4 linked regions of the Tribolium castaneum genome follow. The protein of the gene in region 3 binds, or shares a complex with, the protein of the main gene of each other region. Links are inferred from orthologs where the notes say so. Each region holds a gene or a part of one and is shown on either strand. Other genes may lie near its edges. The genes, in order: LSm7, Prp6, U4/U6.U5 tri-snRNP-associated protein 1 and U6 snRNA-associated Sm-like protein LSm5.

Region 1 (3,788 bases), on a different chromosome or scaffold from region 3:
TAAAAACATAGTCGGTGTCGCCGAGCGCCTTATAATCGAAATTGTCCGAATTGAACGTTTTGGCGTATTGGGAAAACGACGAGAATTTGCTCTGCAACAAGAGATATGTTAAGAAAATAATTATACAAAAAAAAATATATTAAGATAGTAAGCTGTGACTGTCCATTAACAGTTGACATTTGGGTTGGCGCCTTCTAGATTGTGAAAATAATAATTATAAGATAGTGAGCTGCGATGCTTGGCTACTTGTAATTTTTGAAATTGTGCTAAAAACAAAGATTTGGGTGCTCACCCAGTGTTTTTTGTCCACGTCCTCGTCGGCGTCCCACTTTCTGGTCAAAAACGGGTACTTTTGGCTGATAATTTCGCCGTCGAAAAACGTAGTCAAGGTGGGATACTCATCGGTGAGCCCGTTAATTTGCAAATAGCCACACAAATAGGAGTTTTCCTCGTCGACGTGCTGGAAAAACGAGCGAAATTTAAATTTCCCGCCATTTCGGATTGCATTAGCATATGTTGATATTTTTAGTTTTCTTTAAATAAGCGGTGAGCAAAAGGGACGTCACACGTCCTACAAGGGTTCGAACGGTACAAAGTCATCGAAATTTTGGTTAAGGGGGGCAATGGTGCGATTATTTGCAACTTCTAACCTGTAAAACCACTTCCACTTCGTACGAATTGCCTTTCGATTTCTGGAAACCTTGAAATTTGGAGCCGTTGTATAAGAGGGACTTTGTTACCCCCGGCTGTTTTGAATTGGCCGGCGGGGGAGGCGTAATATCCACCCTGACCGGCATTTTTAAAGCACTTTTGCACTCAACTGTCACCAATGTCACTTTTTTGAAAGGAAAATGGCGGCGGTGAGTCATCCGAGTCGGTCAGAGCGTTTTTGCGCATGCTCGGTGCGCAACAGGGCCATTAAATGTGTGGGCGACTGTACTCAACCGTAGTTTTGGACAGAAAAACCCATTTTTGCAATCAACTGAATCAACCCAGATTTATTATTTGGGGCAATTATTCGTTAATCTCAAGCGTAATTAACACGTTTTTTGTGTGTACGCTTTAATTACTTTTGGTTATAAGCATTGGTGGTTGCTTACGCTCATTATAACTAAACTTCTAATTAATTTATTGAGCTAGTTTGTGCAATAAAACAGTTTTATTAATTTTTTACCGGTTTTATTCAAAAAAACGTCTTACAAATTAGAGGTATTTTTATGGTACAAAACTTAGTCTTGGGATATAAAGGGGTTCTGTATGGACTCCATGCCGTCCATGGGGCATATGAGCACGACACTTGTGCCCCTACAGACCACCAAACCCAAGGCCCTCGTGTCTTCTGTTAATTTATAAGGGTCGTCTGGATCTCTCAAGTATTCGATTGTGTTGTCTAAGACGAGGTTCAAAAGGGGGTCATAGCCTTTTAAAATACCACTAGCTTCTCGGCCGCCCGCAAATTTCACCCTAATTGTCTTTTCAAGGTATTTAGAGAGGTCTAGAATCGACTCTTTACGTTTCTTCTCTTTTTGGTCACCGCTCTGATTCTACGGTAAAAATGGGGGTTGAGGGGGCGAAATGGGGCAGTTTGGGGTACGTACTTTTGATTTGTCACCTGACGATGCCATTGTTCGGCTTTATTTGTGGAATTTTGCCGATTTTGAAATTCTAACCTAGAATACGTTTGGAGGTGACGCGTGCATATGGTCTCCTATGCGCACGGAACCTTCCGATTAATTTTGAAATAAAAAAAAATAATTATCGGTTTGTAAAGTCCAGCAATTTCGTAATTAATTTTCTTAGCTTCTAAAGAATTACGTAAAAATTGACGCAATTTTGGGACACAATTTGTAGAGGACTGCTTGCGCAGTGGAGGTACAAAGTTTCAAATGAAAAATGCAAAATTCTCGGTTATCATTTATTCAAAAAAAGTTATTTACACATTGGGGCGTTACTAAAGCATTAATACATGTTAACTATTTGGGCTTCAAGCCCTGGCAAAATGTACAGTATGGCAGAAAATTGTTTGTACTGTTGGTCACGAAAGTTGTGTCAGAGTACTAGAACGTGCTCTTCGACTCCAAGACCGCACAAATAAATCGCTTTTCCCTCCTCTAACGTACATCCAATTTCCAATAACGTACACGGCGAACAATCAAACTGATAAACACTGAAAAAGTTAATTAGTTTTTTTTTCCTACCAAACGTGTGACCGACTTACGCAATTGTTAAATTTTCGTGTAGAAACAAATCGTCGTTACTTCTAACGACGTGATTAACAAGTGAGGGGTTTATCGAAGGATTGATTTCCATTAACGTACAGTTTTTAATTAGGTGTTCTTTGACGGTGCTATTGCATTTAATTTTTCTAATTGTACCGTTTTTATCCGAAGTGAGGAGATTTAAACTTAATTGAGCGGCTTGTGCGCGTACTAGTTTCGTCAAAACGTAAATTGTGATAACTCCAGATAGGAAAATATCACAGGTGAAAATACGATGGACGTAACATATTGAACTATTCAAAAATTCTTTAGTAATTAAACACCTAACACCAGTACTGGTGAAAGCACACTGTAAACAGTTGCACTTATTGTTCAGTGTTGGTATTTCGTGGTGGTTGGGGACCCATTCTAGTGACTTTGGGTGCTTGATTTTTGAGAGTTGCGGGTGTTGCGTGAACAGGTCGTAGACGTCCTTAAAATTAATGCATTTGTTTTTATTAAGTTATTATAATTTTACTTAAAAAGTTATAACCCGCTATTTACATAAGACAAGGACAGAGCTATAGGAGTTCCGATAGGAAAGAGTGAGAGAGAAAGGGCGAACTATTTTTCGTAATACGAACTTGGGCGCGTTATAACTAATTAATTAGTTAAATACCTGGTTAACTCCAGTGAAAAAACTGGTCTTGAAGAACCTCGTAATGGGATGCGTGTATAAATAGGGCCACAGACTGTTCCAAAAAGCCGAGTCTCGATTAATAAAATCCTCGAAGAATTTTTGCCGATTTTCACTTTTGGGCAGCGTTTCGTGCGTCCAGCCTGGCGCGAAAATCGCCATTGATAAGTTGTGTCTCCTTATCATCTGGGCGGCCTTGAAACAGTTGAATTGACCGCCTCCGAAGGTATTGCGACCGAAGACATCCACCCCCACGTAAACGTCCAAAGTCCGATGCTTTGCAAATTCAATCGAATTGTGGATATTTTCCTCAGTCCATACGTAATTGAGGAAAATACCGTCACAATTATCGAAGAAAAATTTATTAAGGGGGTTGAGCTCATTTTGCCATTTCAATTCGCCCGTTTCAATGATACTGTCGTACCAGATGATTAAATGGTCGGGGTTTTGGGTGTGCGTTTGCACCCCTAAGTAGGCAACGAATTTTTTCAACATTTCGGTGTCTTGGAGCGAGTTTTCGATGTTGAGGAGCCACCCGTCGAATTGGAAAATTTTCAAAATTTGGGTCAAAGAAGTTGCGAAAATTCGCATCGTGTCCTCGTCTTTGAAAATCTTCTCGCAAATTTTTTTCCCCGGCTCGAATTCTGTTATCAAAGTTCCAAGAATTTTCACGCCGTTTTGATGCGCGGCATTTATCCAACACAAAGGTGGGATTGTGATTAGGTGGTGACTGAAGTAAACGAAAATATCGATGTGTTGCCAATTATAAAACGAGTACAAATTCCCGATGTTGCTACTTGACAAAAACCTGTCTTCCAAATAGCCACCTTTGTAGTCATGGCACACTAAAGTTTTGGGAACAAATCTCTTATCGAGACGCGTTCGTGGACCGA
Region 2 (5,739 bases), on a different chromosome or scaffold from region 3:
TTCTTTTAACCAAAGTGATAGAAAAAAACTTTAAAAAATATTTTATGTAACTTAGTTAATTTTTACTTTTTTAATTTCTTTTTTATTCATCTCTTTTTCAATGTAAACACGTCTGAAAATGATAGTTACCAACGAAACATGTTCCTTTTATAATTTTTAACATCTTTAATAGCTACAACTGTGTGGAAGTTCACAAAATTTTTTTCATCTTTTTGTTAAGTTATCAGCAATCCACTTAGAAAAAAATGAATCCAGCTTAACATAAAATTATTTTATATAATCCAAGGATGGTTTTAGGTTTAATTTTAAAACTGTCGTATCAGAACAGATTTTTTTTTATTTTGGGATGAATATCATAATTCACTGTTAATTTCAGTCCTATCAAAAAAAATTAATCAAAGAGTAGTTCTACAAGCGTCTAGCAGGAGCAAAATTTGCTATGCCCGAGGCCCATTGGAAAATATTTGCTTTGGGAGCAAAAATCTTTATGAATTCGTACAATTCATTGATACTGGCTAATAAAAAAAGTAAAAATTTCTACAAGAGTCCAGTCGATAGTTTCCGGTATGCCATAAAAAACATAGAATTGTTGACGTGTCTCTTCAAGTTTTTACAGTGTACAGTGTATGTGAGAAATGCCAAGAAAAAAATGTATAGAGAAATTTAATTATTAATTCAAATGTCAGACCGTTAGATACCTTTTTCATTCTGCTACATTTTGTAAAAATTCACAAAATCTGTTGATAAGTATTAAAAAAACTCCAAAAAAAAAATATTCTAAGAAGCAATAGATCATTTACGACCAATTTTAATCTCAAAATAGAACTTGTCATGAAAATGCTTTGCGGAAATTTCGGCCTTTTCGAGAAAAATTAGTGCAGGAAAAGTTTGAAATGTATCCAAAATTCGTCGTTGTGTAAGATATTACAACAACATAAAAACAACACAAATCATAAAATTACAAAAAAGGAATAGTAATTTACCGATTTAAAAAACTTAAGAATAAAAATTGCATTAAAGAGGCAGTTAGCTGTCAAAATTTATAATTTTGGTCAGTCACCATGTGAAAAATTTCCCACAAGAATTTCTGAGAATAACGATTTTGTTGTCTCAGGGAAAAATCTCTAATTTTCCCATGGGAATTTTTTCACAAAAATTTAGTTCCAATATTTATGGTGCTATAAAAATATCATTGAATTAAATAGGTTGAATTGTAGTCTGTGTAAACAAAATAAGTCTCTGCTAAAAGTATATTTTTGTGTAATTAATTTTCCATTTGTTAGGCTATTGATTTCCTTTTTTACTCAACTAGAAATATTTATTTTTGCACTTAGGACAAATAAGTGTATTACCGACATGTTTAGTTTTTGTACGCACATTCCTGTACTAAACATTATCGAACAAGCTACCAAATATTCTAGGACATTCTTAATCTGGAATGAAAACACAAAAATATTTAAGGCTAGCTGAACATTTCCACAAAGCATAAAACAATCTTGTCTTATTTATTAAATTTAAACAAATAACTGAAAAGACATTGGTGTCTATATTATTAAATTCTCACTAAAAAAGTGGCTTTGTTGTAACTGTGTATCTTTTAGAACAACAAAGTTACAAATAGTTAAAGATGTCCTTAAAATTTACTCAAGAAAGTTTCAAAAGTTTCAGTGATTGGACCATAAAATTCACGTCCCCTTGTATTTTTCAGATATGTGCCTCGAAAAAAAAACATGACCTCTTTGTTTTCCACCTAATGATTATTGAGTAGTTACACCACAGATTATACTTTTTAATGGTGACGTTTTATCCATATTCTTGCCCAATTATCGTAGTACAGTTTAATTTAATCAGTTGGTCACTCGCTGTTGTCACAAACGGACGTCTCACAATAAAATAAGAATTTAACGATTTTAAAGTTTAAAATTCTCTGGCTAGTGCGTTTTGATCGCGGTTAGTGTGTACCACTTTAATGGCTTTCCAGGAAGAAAGCAAAAAAATAATCCGGTAAAAGTCTTAGTCTGCAATAATTTGCAATATTTTTACAAAAATTGCAATAAATCTGTAATGTTTTCAACAACTAATTTAACAGCACATTGTTCTACCGGTAAATATATCGTTTTTTATTTCAGTATTTTCGTCTTCAATTAGATGTTGGTTATGTGGTGTGTATTATTATTTATTAACATCTTGCACTAATTATGTTTTTTAATCTATTTTTAATGTTTTGCTACAAACTAGCAGAAGAAAAGCGCTAGTGTATTTTTTTTAAGATGTTAATTATGCGATATTATTAATATCCTGCAGTCTTGTAATATTTTCCAAACCGAATAACGTTATACTGGGGGTTCCTTTGTACAGAAGTTAACTGCCTTAGAATGTACTAAGTTACGTGAGTTCGTAAAAATGAAAAGATTTTATAATTATATTATTTACTTTAATTCCATAACGATTCAGAAGCGACCGCTTCCGAAGAAAAAAAAACAAATAATTGTACTAATTTTTGTTTTTTATTTATTTTTAATATCTTGCAACAAAATGTAACAGAAAAAGATGCCATAAAGGTAAGTGCATTTCTTTAATTCCATAACTATTCGCTTCCGAAGGAAAAAAACAAATAAATGTTACAGTAATTTTTGTTTTTTATTTTTTTTTAGCAGAAGATGTCATAAAGGTAAGTGCATTTATTTTTTCCATTTATTGTCAATAAAGGAGGTATTGAATAAGTGAAGTATTGAAAAGTAATAGTTTGAGTACTACATTTTAGAACACAGTAAAATATTATATTACATTGTACTGATTTTATTTCTAATTTCATAGTATAGATTCTTTTATAAGTAATTATAAATTTATTAAAATATATTTGTAAAATTGGAAAATTGTTCGTTTGAACATCTTGTCGACGATAAACGGCATAAAAAATAACATTTAATTTAAGAACAAAAATTTTAAAAAAAATGTTCAGCTGAACAAAAATTCTTCCTATAAATTATAGCAGAAGCAGATGCCGTAAAGTTAAGTACATTTTATTGTTATTGTCCATTTCAATGAAATGTGGAATACGTGGTGGTATTAACATATTGTATCAGCTTGTTTTGTAGCAGAAGATAGCAAGTTCAATTAAATTTCTGATTAAATTACCTTTCTTGTCGATATTTCTCCAATTCCTCCCTCAACCTCTTCTCCCTGTACTCCTTTCGCTTCTCGTCCATTCTCTTATCAATCGCTTCGTAAATCGCGTCAGCCTCAGCATCATCCTTATCGTAGGGATCTTTGGAAAAAAGTGACCCCCCATAACCGCTAAACTCATCATAATTCGAATCATTCAAATCTTCTTCTTCCTACAATAACACAGTCAACAAACACACACACTTTCGTCAACAAACCTCTTTCTCCTCCTCTTCATCTTTCTTTTTAGTGCGTTTTGCCGCCGGTGGGGCATGCCTATCATCCCTAAAACCACGAATTAAACCACACACAACCCCACTAACCCCACTTACGAAACGTCGTTGGCGTCCCTCGCTGGCCCGATATCAGACCGTGTGGTGAAGCCCGTAGCCCTGAAACACCACAATCACAAACATGTTAAAACAACCCCCTAACGCACCCTCGACCAACCCCAGCGACGTAACCCAAGGGCGCGGGGACCCCCAGGAAGTGCTTCTTGTTTCGGTTGACTAACGCCTGCGGTGGGGCTGCCATAACTAGCCCCAAACAAACACCAAGTCTAACCTTAAACCGAACGACTAGCAACGTTTTGACAGACGACAAATGTCAAACATTCACACATAACCTCACTCATTTTTCGAAATTCCAAATTTTTGAAATGTTTTCACGGTTTCTCATTCTTGTCACGTTGTTATCAGCTGTTCACGGGACGTTGACGCCGAAGTCGCGCAAGGATAAGCGCGACGATAAGTTCTTTGTGCACATCAAAACGGGGCCCCAAAACATTACCGTCTTTGACCGGAATTTGGTGACGGAAGCGGCCACTCCGAGGGAGGTTTTGCAGAATTATCTAGCGTATTTCAGGGAAATTGACAATTATCAGTTTGATGGGCTTGTGCTGGGCTACGTGACTCCTGTAGGTTCCAAGCTGCCGGTCAGGTTTTTTAAAGACAGTTTTAGTGGAACAATGAGGGGTACGACATTGCCAAAATTTTCGGGAACAAGTTTACGCACATTAGCCCCGTTTGGTTGGAAATCAAAAAATCAAACAACCGGTTTGACTTCAGTGGAACACACGATATTGACAAGAAGTGGATAATACACGTGAAAAATGCAGGACGGGAGAGGAAACTTAAAAGTATTCTTTCTTCAAGTCTGGAAAAACATTAATTAATAATTAATTCAGTTGTCCCTAGAATTCTCTTTAGTGGTTTGAATGAGAACCAAATGAACTCACTCTTCGACCCTAAAGAGCTGAAATCGTTAATTAAAACACTGATAACAACCGCGAAATCGTACAATTTCGACGGTTACGTGATCGAGATCTGGCCCCAACTCCAGATGGACATGAATTACGACCCCTTGATCAACCTTGTGAGAACCATAGGTGCCCCACCAGCCCCCTTATTTTACTGTTTTTCATTTTAAAAAATTCTTAGGGGACTCCCTGGCCTTAGAATCCTTAGACACAATCCTGGTAATTCCCCCGAAACGGGGCCGCAATTTGCCCTTCTCGGAGGATCATTTCAACGCATTATATGACCATGTGACTGCATTTTCCCTCATGACTTATGATTATTCCAACCCGAGGCGCCCCGGCCCCAATGCCCCCTTGACCTGGGTCGAAGACTGCATTAAAACCGTGTCTTCGCAAGAGTCCAAAAGGGGCAAAATTTTGACCGGTTTTAATTTCTATGGAAATCATTATTCTGAAGTCGGGGGAAAACCCATCCTGGGGCACGAGTTTATCCGAAAATTGGAGGAGAAATTGAAAACTGCGAGGATGATTTATGATCCACAAATCGCCGAGCATTACGTTGAATACGAGTAAGTTAATTAAAAAAAAATTAAGGAAATAACCATGAGTACAATAATATTTTTTCTGGTGTGCACATGTGTAATCTTGGTTGCATAATATTTTTAACAAAAAAATATACAGCTCAGCCTTTAAGTTTCTTTTTTATAGCACATGTTAAACTATTTCTTTTAAGTATTTAAAGTAGCACTTTAACCGCAAGGTTAAATTTACTTTATTCAACGAAATTTACAAATTACAACACATTAATTTAAAGGGTTAACATTTTTTTTATTTATTTAAACTTTAGAAAAAATGTGTTTTACACGACAATAAAAATTCGTTATCTATTCGTAAAATGTAAGTCCACTTGTGACTTCATCTCTTTTGAACTTAACTTTTCAATTCATAGATAAACAATCTCTTTAGTGACTTGTATATATAATAAATAACAATTTTTCAATAGCAGATGTTGAACTATTTCTTTATCTACTCTTTTGAGTAGATAAAAGAAAAATGAAAAAAATAAAAAACAAATTCCAGCTTTTAACAATTTTTTTTTCTTAAACTTGAAATCCTGCTGTAGAAAAAAATGTGTTATATACAACGATAAAGACTCTATATACTCGTGAAATATAAGTCCACTTGTCTCTTTTGAACTTAATCTTTTCAGCAGATGTTATGCTATTTTTTTATCAACTAGTTAATATAACACTTTAACCGCAAGGGACGATAAAATGAATTTAAAAAAATATAAAGTGAATAAAAAAATCCAATTA
Region 3 (5,710 bases):
GATTACCGTGCAATCCCTATCCTAATCATGACTGATAATGGTGCTCACGGAAGTGACGTGAAAGGTCACGTCGAGAGCTGGTCATCAACCATTTATTTTTTTAATTAACTATAACTTTCTGTTCAATATTTTCCTTTATTACCGTTTTGTTGGAAAATATGGGAAATTGGTAATTTCTAATTAAAACACGGAACTCACTTTTAATTCATTTCATTTATCGCAAAAATTATTACACCGTTTGTACTCGTAGGGAGCCAGACTTTAAAACTTATTCATAAAACCATTATCATTATCGTACCCGTCCCTTAAAAACGATCTACAAAACAAAAACATTTCGTAACACTTTTCGTTAGGACTTTGTAAATAAAAACTGATAAAAATGAAACAATTTATACAATTTACAATGATGCCCAGTTTTCCTTAATTTAAAATTGCCACTTCTTTTTAGAGTAGCGCTGAATTTTGTTCACACAAAATTATAGTATTTATTTATTCTTAGTCATTTTACTTAACGCCGACTTTTGGAAATAACCGCCGTTTGCTGGCTCTGCTTGTTCCCCGACAAGACCACATACGGCGACTGCGTCTCCTTCTGCTTCGCTTGCAGCATATTCAAAGTCCCTAAGGGCGTATCCGTCGAACTCATCTTCTTCATCAACTGCTCCTGCACGCCCTTCTTTATCCTCTTCTCGATCTTATTTTTCCCCGGCCCTTTCCCGTGGAACTTATGCGAGAGATACCTGAAGGCCTCCTTCGAGTTCAACACGTGCCCATCATCGTCGATATACTCCAACTTAACATTGGGCTTAAACCCATCCTTCTCCTTAAACTCCATAATGGGGCCAGTGTACCTCTCCCGGCGGTTCGCGCGATCGCCCTCATCCCCGTAGGTCTTGTCCTCGATAGAGTAATGCTTGGCTTGCAAATGCGCTAACCGCGAATTCGACGGCCTCTTATTCTGCTCCTTGTCCAGGTACCCCTTGCTCATTGCAAGCTTCAAAGCTGCCCCAAGCCCTGTACTGACATCAGGCTCTTCGTCGAGGATTTGCACCTCTTGTGGGGCAATTTGCGGGCTTTCGTGCGGCTCGTTTGGATCGACTGAATTCCAGCCGGTTTTCTCCTCCTGCTCGACTTCGTCCATTTCGGGCTCGTCTTTCAGATCACGCTCGAAATCGATCAAATCTTCGGTTTCCTCGCGGTTGCCGGACTTGCCGTACGTTGGGATGTCGCCCAAAGTGCGGCAAAACTCCGCCGTGGCGTTCAGAACAATACTCCCCTCCAGGTTTTCCTCACTTTCGCTTTTAACCGGCGTTGATTTAACAATCTCAGCAACGAGGTTCTCCTTCTGTTTGATTTTGCGTGTCTTGTGCAGCGCTTTTTCCAAGAGATCGTCCTTCTCGTCCTCGAGTTTGACGTCCGTGGGGTATTCCATTTCGGGGATGTCGTCAATGGTCAAGTCTTCGAGCTCTTTCTTTGGGCGTCTTGAGCCGACTTCCTCGATGCCTTTGTTGTTAATTTGTTGCTCCAATTCATCAGCGGTCAGTTTTCCCTTAGTTCGGATTTTGCGGACTTTCTTTTTGGGTTTTTTAAATTTGGACAGTTCCTCGTCGTTGTAATATTCCGATGCGAGTTTTAAATCTTTTGTTTCAATCGATTCGATTCTTTTTTTGGCGAGTTTTTCCTTAATTGATTGCACGATTGCTTGTTTACGTTCAACCGCATTGTCGTAACCGATTTTGAAGCTTTCGCGTTTTTCGCCGTCGATTGTTTCGTCGTATTGGGCCAAAAGCGACTTTTCTTTGGGGTTGCCAAACTCGTCGTACTCCTGGTCTTCGTAGGCGTTATACAAAATCTTCTTCTTCTTGTTTATAACGTTCTGAAATTTGATGATAAATAATCATTCACTGTAAATATTTGTAACAAATTACCTTTTTGTATCTCTCGTCCTCAACCATGTTGACATTGACCAGGACATCCTCCTTGTCTTCATCCAAGACGCCCTTGTCTTGCAGCGTCAAGATAACATCCCTTTCCTCAGCAAAGCTATCAACATCATGCTCCACCCTCAGCCCTTTCAAATTCCTCTCAGTGTATCTCTGCTTCCTCTTCTCCTTCTTCTCATTCTCCACAAACTCGCTGACCCCAAACTGCTCATCCAACTCCTCCAACATTTTCGCCCTTTTCTCAGCCTCCTTCTTGGCCAATTCAATCTTGCGGTTCTTATCAACCCACGACTCCACATTATCATCACTATCACTGTCCCCCAGCAGCTTCACCTTGCCCAGCTTATTCTCCAGCTGGCGCTTTTCCCGAATCGTTGTCAATTTGCCCTTCAGCTTCTCCCTCTCGTGCTTATCCGCCCAATTCTCCGCCGGCTTGTGGTAAAACTCGCCCCAATCGTCCTTCTTCTTCCCGTCATCCCGTTTCTTCTCGGACTTGTCCCCCGAACTCACATCGAGCGGCTTCAGGCCGAGCTTCGCCCGCAGTTTGTTCGTTTCCTCAATCGAGAGACTCTCAGCGTTTTGCCCGGAGCCCGAAGGCTCATCGTCCGGAATCACCTCGATCACGTCGGATCCTGGCAAAAAATCATTCAAACGGGAAAGTTGGACGCGGGGTGCTTACCGTCGCTGTCGTAGTCGTGCTTCGCCCTCGCGTCGCGCTTCTTGTCCCTGTGGTGCCTCTTGTGGCGGTGGCGCTTCTCCTTCGGGGGCTCATGCTCGTCGGTGTAGCCGGGGCTGTGGTGGCGCCGCTTACGAGACTCTTTCTCTTTTTCTTTGTATTTTTTGCTACTAGAACCCATCCTTTTTACAAAATTTGAAGGAAATACCTACCGTACACAACGTCAATGCAACGTTTTGACGTGCGCGAAATCCGGATTGGTGGTTTCGCCGTTACGGGATTTGCCGAGTTCAAAAACCTAACCCCACATTTGCCAAGCCAAGATGACCAACTTATTGAAGCAATTGCAGGCGATGTACGAGCTTGCCCTGCACTCGAACATCTCCCGAGTGGTTTGTAGCCCCCTTTTGGGAGTCTGAGCCCCCAACTGTGCTTTTAGTGCGACTTGGCCCTGTCGGCGTCCGAGCAAAAGCCCGACTTTTTGCCCCCTTTGCAGAAGTTCCAGGTGATGTTGCTGTACGCCGATTCGCTGTACGAGACGCAACAGTTCGCCCAAAGCGAGAGTTTGTACCGCCAGGCCTTACAGCTCCGCAAACACCTCTTAAAAACCAAGTCAATGTCTAATAAAATCACGGAGAGTCAGCCCGAACTGGCCAGCGATGTGGAGATCAGGTTCAAGATACACAAGTGCTGCATGGCCCTGAAGCAGGTGAATGGGGCCATCGAGATGCTGCAGTCGATTCAGGCCCGCCTGCGGACCCCCAAAGTCAACATGGCGCTCGGCAACTTGTACAGGGAGGCCGGGATGGAGCGCTCGGCCATAACGTGCTACAAGGAGGTGCTCCGGGAGTGCCCGCTGGCCCTCGAAGCCGTGGAGAACTTGCTCAAGCTGGGGGTGAAAGGGGTCGAAGTCAACGCACTAATGGTGGAGGCAACTTCCGAACTAAACTGGCTAAACCTCTGGCTCAAAGCACAAGCCCAGTTGTACTCGCGCGACTTCGAAAACGCCGCCCAAACGTACAAAAGCATGGACAGCCACGGTCTACTCAAAGACAACACGTCGCTGCTGGTCAACCTGGGCTACTGCTACCACTACATGTGTGAGGACGAGACGGCGATTGCAGTCCTCCAGCGGGCGATTAAACTCGACCAGAACCTAGTCTTTGGTCGCGATTTACTGGCCACGCTTTTGGCGAGCTCGGGGACTTCCGAACACGTTGAGTATTTGGAGGATTTGATCCCGACCTCGGATATGTCGCTGTGGACGAGTGAGCATTGGGTGGTCATTGGCAATCTGATGTTTTCGACGAGACGGCACGAAAAAGCCGTTTATTTCGCACAGCAGGCGCTTTGTGCCTCGCCCAAAAACATAGAGGCGTTGCTGCTGAAAGCCAAGACGCTGGTGGAGCTCAGCAAGTACCAGGATGCCGCCCAGCATTGCACGGAAGCGATCCAGATCTGTCCGTTTCGATACGACTTGCACCAGTGTTTGGTCGAGTGCTATGTGAAGATGAATCGGCTGAGGGAGGCCGACTCCATGGCGCAAAATGCGTGCAAACAGCTCAATTTCAGCCCACATTCGGTTACGGTAAGTGAAAAAATTGTAATACGGTAAAGAGAGAATTGGCTGTTAGACTGTTTTTTTGGGACGAATTATTTTAAAAACGTATCACTTTTTTTTCGTTTGCCTTCATCTGGCAAACTAATGCGCTATCTGAGAGGAATATCGGGATGGGACGTTGTCTTTGCTTTAGGTGTCGAAACGGATTAGGCGCCATTAAGTTGTTTTCTTATTTATTCCTCAAATAACAACAATTACAAAAAATAGTTTCACTGCAGTTGCACGCCTCCGTTTTACTCAAAGACCCGATGACGTCCGGGAAAACGGTGCGAAACCTCCTCGAGAAGGCCGTGAGCCAAGACAAGACGTTTTCCACTAAGGCCGTCTGTATGCTCGTGGAGTTGCTCGAGCAGGAGCAGCAGTACGACCAAGCTCGGCAGCTCCTGCTGAAGCACGTGGAACAGCACCCCACCTCGCGCATCCACCAGATGCTGGGCGACTGCTACGTCAATTTGAACAAGGACAGCGAGGCTTTCCACCACTACAACGTGGCCCTGCGGCTCGACCCGTCCAACCAGAGGGCGACCGAGGGCCTGAGTTGCATCGGACGCAACGTGTCTTTAAGCAAAAGGGAGAGCTACTACACCTGCGTGGGGGAGACGTCGTACACGTCGCCAGGGACGAGCGCCTCCGAGGACGATGTTTTTGTCCAGAACGATACCGAACCCTGGCCTACCAATATGAGTTTCTAGGTGATAACAATTTTTTTTACAATAAAAATATTTAAAGTCACGCGACTTTGTTTTCAACAATCACAGGGTTACATTTCCCTAATTATTTACGTGTTAAAATACAAAGTGTTAGTACTATCACGGGGAAAAGGTTTCATTTCTTTTAGAATCTAGGATACATTTTTGACCCAAACAAACGTCCCTAAGCTAAACACAAGCGGCCGCGGCCAAGCCAAACAATAAGCGCTTGTTCGTTTATAAATTTGTTACAATTAAGACAATTATTGCTAAAATAATCTCAATTTCCCAAAATTCTCTTCGCCTCTCGTTCTATTTTGTTACTTTTTGCATTTTATTAAATACGTAGGTTTCAACCTACGGCACAAACTCGCTCAAAATCACTCAGTTGAGTGGAAATCTCACAAAGGAGCACCGGAAATACTCGAAATCCTCGAGGTTTTTCTTCAACGTGGTGGCACTAAACCTGGAAGTTCTAAAACACAATCAATTTTTTTTATCTCGGGGAAAATATTCACCGTTGCTCGTTGTCAGTAAGCGAAACAAATGCGAATTGGGGGCCCCCAAATCCCCAGTTGACTGCTCAAACTCGTCCCCACCTTCAATCGCAACAAAATGACAAAACTGCTCCCCTCCGCGTTTGTTATATTCTTCGAGGGCGCTGTTCAAAATATCGCTCTCAGACACCTGCGGAAACATTAACATTTTTTTATTACTTGCTATATTATTAAAAAAAAAAAATGAGAGCGCGGACCGCGGACTAAACATAGTGATTCCTGCG
Region 4 (4,041 bases), on a different chromosome or scaffold from region 3:
TAGGTATTACTAGACGACTGTGATTGGAACATGGCTCACTAAGGTGCGGTTTAAGAAATTAGTTGCCTTTGTAGTACTTATTATATTCATTAGTTACATCGAAATTAGCTTCTACGTTAGTTGAAAATTGTACAAATGAGGAATTACACTCAGGGTGACTACATGATACAGTCGGCTTTAATTTCAACAGACTTTAACGGGGATTAGTGCACAAGGGATTATGTTTATCCATATTTCGGAATAATAGGCATAATTTATGTATCGTGCAGTCAACCTTTTTAAATCAAAATAGATATTACAAATTGTGGTTGATGAATAATGAGTTTACGATTCGTTGACTATAAGAGATGTTTAATGCAAACCCTGAATACAGTATTTTCTGAGATTAAACTTAACAAAGTTTCAAAATTCTGTAGAGTAGTTTAATCAGAAACTTAAACTTGAATAGTATTCTAACTGTGATTAAAAATGTCTATTCTATTTCTATAAATGAATAACAGTACAACGGTGTTTTATTTCACCCCCACCTTAGTTTAGTGATTCGTAGAATGCGCTGGAACAAACCATTTTGCTTTACGACTTTTTTGAGTTACGACTTTTTTTAGTGAAAAAAAAATGCTGCTGGCCGGCTCTCTTCAAATTATGGAACTATTTTGGTCCAAACCTATATAAATGTTCCGGGTACCGGAAATCGAGACAAAAAATTGGATAAAAAAAATCGAACATATGGACTTTTAGCAACTCCAGTGGGTTCTAAATTGCGTAAAAAGCTGATATATGGTAAAATGAGCCGCAAAATTCACTGGAACGAACCGTTTTTACGACTTTTAGTTATTTTCTAACGTCGTTCCATTCCTTTTTTCATTGTAAAGGCCTGGAGTAGTTGGCAACACATTATACAACAAGATAAGGTGGTTGCCTAACCCGCGATTACAAAGTAATGTTCTGAACAACTTATTTTTTTGTGTTAAAAGGCCCAGTTAGGACAAATTTGACACAAACACATCTCTCCTTAAATGTACAGTGTTGTTTTCATCAAAAATAAGAGCTTTTTATGATACAAAAAAGGGTATTAAACAAACACAAAAATGCCCTTATTTTATACTTTATTCAAATGACTTACTCTGGCATCTCTCCACCTGGAACAAGCTAAAATTTTGAATTAGTTTCAAGAATTAATTAGATACAGTATGGCATATTAAACATAAAAACGAAGCACAAAATAAAGTACCATTGTTATATTGTTCCCATTAAGCAGAATTTGGTCCAATTTAGTAATTCTCCTTCCTTCAGGCGTTGTTTCATATTCCGTTACATCCTCCAGTAACATATTGACAAAATCATCAAAGCCTAATAACGTCCCCACGATTTCCTTATCATTTTTCATAATAATATGGATCCTTGACCCTATACACTTATCCACAAGTTCTACAATAGCAAAAACAACGTTAATAAATTAATGATTATTATTGAATGCTCAAACACCGGCAGATAACCAAAAAAACACGTTACGTTTTTTTGCTTTACTCACCTAACGGAAGCAAGGTGGAAGAAGACACAGGCATGGAAGTCATTCTGACCGTTTAATAATACGTTCAAATAATTATAAATTCTTAAATTAGCAATAAATATTTGAAACAACTGTTTACATTTACAAACAGCAAAAAGTAATCAATTTGACAGTAAAAAGGATTTTGACAGGAGCTTAATGGCGCTAGTGTCGCAACTACAGCAAAAAGCTCAAGCTAGGACTTACGTTACGGAACCGAACAATTTAATAAACGATCAAAATACGGCTTAAGACAATTACAAAAAGTAGTGGCACACGTTTGTTAAGACTTTACCGCCTTATGGTTACATTTTTACGGCGTGGAATGCATGAATTGTTTTTATTTTTTATTTCTTTTGGAGCGCGTATGTGCGAGCTTGGAGCTCTTGCAGTGTAACAGGTCATGCGCTTTGCGGCTTTCTTCGGTATTTCAGTCGTTTGTCGTTTTCGTCAAATGCCGACCGAGGTGGGAGTTGAGTGTGTTGTAGTTGTAGGTTTTGTGTTTTTTGTAATAAATAATCGTATTTTTAAGTGAACTTGTGTCTAAAATCGTGACAATAATGTTCGTGGAGTAAATTTTGGAATTTAAAATCATCAATTTGTAATAAAAGGTCAGTATACTCCAGTTAATTGAAACAATGGTGTTATTTTGGTTTAGCCTATATTTACGTTCTCTAAGAGCTTTATACCCCTACACATTGATTTATTCCTCTTTAATATGATTTATAACGCTCTATTTTTATAACACGACAGCTCGAGAGCGTATAATTTATATCGGGGAATAAATGGTAATTGTAGCAGAATGTGAATGCTTAGCTATTTTTATTTCTCAGGAGTTTTTCTTTTATTTATATTCGTGTTACAGTTATCTTGGAAGAGTTCAGTTGCCCTGTCCATGCTGTTTAAATAAACACATTAAAATGCTACTTGCAGCAAACAATATTCTATTATGATAACTTGACCACTGTGGTTGACATTATCATTATGTGGATTATTATAATGAAATTGTGATTAGACACGACCGATATACCTATGGGAATAATAAACATTCTTTGGATATACCGCTAACAAGGAATGTGGCCAGGAAATTCCTGAACGAATTTGTATTAATCATATTCTATTTTTCCCAACGTTCCTCACACAAAGTGTTTGTTTCCACAGATTTTTATAAAGTTCACGTTAGTTCTAATGTATTCCAATATTTGTGGCGAAAGAAAGTAAACTCATCTCCATTTCCCTGAAAGCTATTAAGAAAATGTCAAGTGGATTTCCACATTTTTACTTTCAGCATATTACAGGTACACAGGAGGAAAGCAACCAAAAGACATGCAAACGACAGGATATGCCGTTGAAATGGGCATTTTTAGATAAAAGACAAGTTATTTACTCATGTCAAACGCAAATTGTTTTGATTTTAAGCACAAAAAGTGTACAAAGTAATGATTACTTCCAACACCAAACATAGGAACTTAGACACTTTGCTAAGCAGTAGTGTTTATAAATCATGACGTTGTTTACCTAAATATCAACGCGGAACATAAATCTATAAGTGGGGAATATCAACACTGATGTAGAACTATGAATAAAATTTGAATAATTTTGATGTATCGATTTCAGCATTGTGCATTATTACCGATGCCAGAACGCATATCATGAGCATGAAAAGCAGGAGTGGTGAAAGTAATAACTTTGACAATAACTGTAGAACGCATAATAGGATGGACTTAACGGACCATCGCGTATAAAAACGCCATGATATGTTTATACAAAAAATACGCTTAATGCTTTATTGTATTCTAAATTCAAAGAACAAAGCGCCAAAATACTTTCAAATTTTTACATGATAAGCTTCTCGTGACTTCCTCAAGGTGAGTCTAAAATATAAACTAATTACTACACAAAATTCAGCGTTTGCTATTAAATATTCTCTGTGCATGTGATTTTTTGTGACTAATTATTATAGTCGCTGCACAGAAAAACTATTACTCCTTATGTCATTCATAAAATAACCGATGCTCAAATGGTGTTTTGGGCAAAAATTCACGTAAATTAACAAATAAACGTATTTTTTACGTACAGAATCAGTCGTGTGGTGGACTTTCAGTGCTTCGTAAAATTTGCTTGAGACTGATGTCTGGAAAACCAAACATAGAATTCAAATGCAAAATAGCTGAACACATTTGTGTTTTAACTAATAAAAAAAGAAGAGACAAAAAATTACGACTTTGAAAGTCGTAACTGTGAAAGACTAACAATAATAAATAAATCATTGTGTAATTGTCTAATATTTAAAAGGACATAGCATTTAAGGATTAAATACATAATCTAACTTTTTTTAAATAAAATACTGATTCAATGGGCTATATTAAGGAATTAAGAATAATTAAAAAAATGTAACCACGAATAGATTCCTTGCTTTCAAACCGTAAATTAAAGAGCAGAGACATAAAGGTAAATAAGGGTTATACATGTTTAGGATTAGCTCTGAGCTA

The links.
Region 1: U4/U6.U5 tri-snRNP-associated protein 1 (region 3) and LSm7 share a complex: the UniProt entries of both Homo sapiens proteins name them as parts of the U4/U6-U5 tri-snRNP complex. The link is inferred for Tribolium castaneum from reciprocal best matches to the Homo sapiens genes SART1 and LSM7.
Region 2: U4/U6.U5 tri-snRNP-associated protein 1 (region 3) and Prp6 share a complex: the UniProt entries of both Homo sapiens proteins name them as parts of the U4/U6-U5 tri-snRNP complex. The link is inferred for Tribolium castaneum from reciprocal best matches to the Homo sapiens genes SART1 and PRPF6.
Region 4: U4/U6.U5 tri-snRNP-associated protein 1 (region 3) and U6 snRNA-associated Sm-like protein LSm5 share a complex: the UniProt entries of both Homo sapiens proteins name them as parts of the U4/U6-U5 tri-snRNP complex. The link is inferred for Tribolium castaneum from reciprocal best matches to the Homo sapiens genes SART1 and LSM5.

What each region holds. Positions count from the first base shown.
Region 1 is NC_087399.1:1,125,022-1,128,809, forward strand, and holds LSm7 (U6 snRNA-associated Sm-like protein LSm7), read right to left. Parts: upstream 1,759-3,788; 5' UTR 1,626-1,758; coding exon 1,599-1,625; intron 1,545-1,598; coding exon 1,230-1,544; 3' UTR 1,158-1,229; downstream 1-1,157. Other genes in the region: glucose-induced degradation protein 4 homolog, read right to left, coding at 1-91, 293-460, 651-797; ENGase (cytosolic endo-beta-N-acetylglucosaminidase), read right to left, coding at 2,050-2,167, 2,219-2,691, 2,878-3,788. UniProt on the Homo sapiens protein: Plays a role in pre-mRNA splicing as component of the U4/U6-U5 tri-snRNP complex that is involved in spliceosome assembly, and as component of the precatalytic spliceosome (spliceosome B complex).
Region 2 is NC_087399.1:6,874,981-6,880,719, reverse strand, and holds the start of Prp6 (pre-mRNA-processing factor 6), read right to left. Parts: upstream 3,740-5,739; 5' UTR 3,700-3,739; coding exon 3,605-3,699; intron 3,558-3,604; coding exon 3,498-3,557; intron 3,451-3,497; coding exon 3,384-3,450; intron 3,339-3,383; coding exon 3,139-3,338; intron 1-3,138. Other genes in the region: chitinase domain-containing protein 1, read left to right, coding at 3,824-4,081, 4,126-4,303, 4,352-4,552, 4,605-4,992. UniProt on the Homo sapiens protein: Involved in pre-mRNA splicing as component of the U4/U6-U5 tri-snRNP complex, one of the building blocks of the spliceosome.
Region 3 is NC_087395.1:24,228,055-24,233,764, reverse strand, and holds U4/U6.U5 tri-snRNP-associated protein 1, read right to left. Parts: upstream 2,801-5,710; coding exon 2,623-2,800; intron 2,576-2,622; coding exon 1,929-2,575; intron 1,877-1,928; coding exon 509-1,876; 3' UTR 195-508; downstream 1-194. Other genes in the region: APC7 (anaphase-promoting complex subunit 7), read left to right, coding at 2,943-3,011, 3,059-4,207, 4,459-4,932; PR domain zinc finger protein 10, read right to left, coding at 5,376-5,404, 5,448-5,616. UniProt on the Homo sapiens protein: Plays a role in mRNA splicing as a component of the U4/U6-U5 tri-snRNP, one of the building blocks of the spliceosome. May also bind to DNA.
Region 4 is NC_087394.1:33,640,181-33,644,221, forward strand, and holds U6 snRNA-associated Sm-like protein LSm5, read right to left. Parts: upstream 1,712-4,041; 5' UTR 1,575-1,711; coding exon 1,532-1,574; intron 1,429-1,531; coding exon 1,232-1,428; intron 1,150-1,231; coding exon 1,120-1,149; 3' UTR 1,090-1,119; downstream 1-1,089. UniProt on the Homo sapiens protein: Plays a role in pre-mRNA splicing as component of the U4/U6-U5 tri-snRNP complex that is involved in spliceosome assembly, and as component of the precatalytic spliceosome (spliceosome B complex).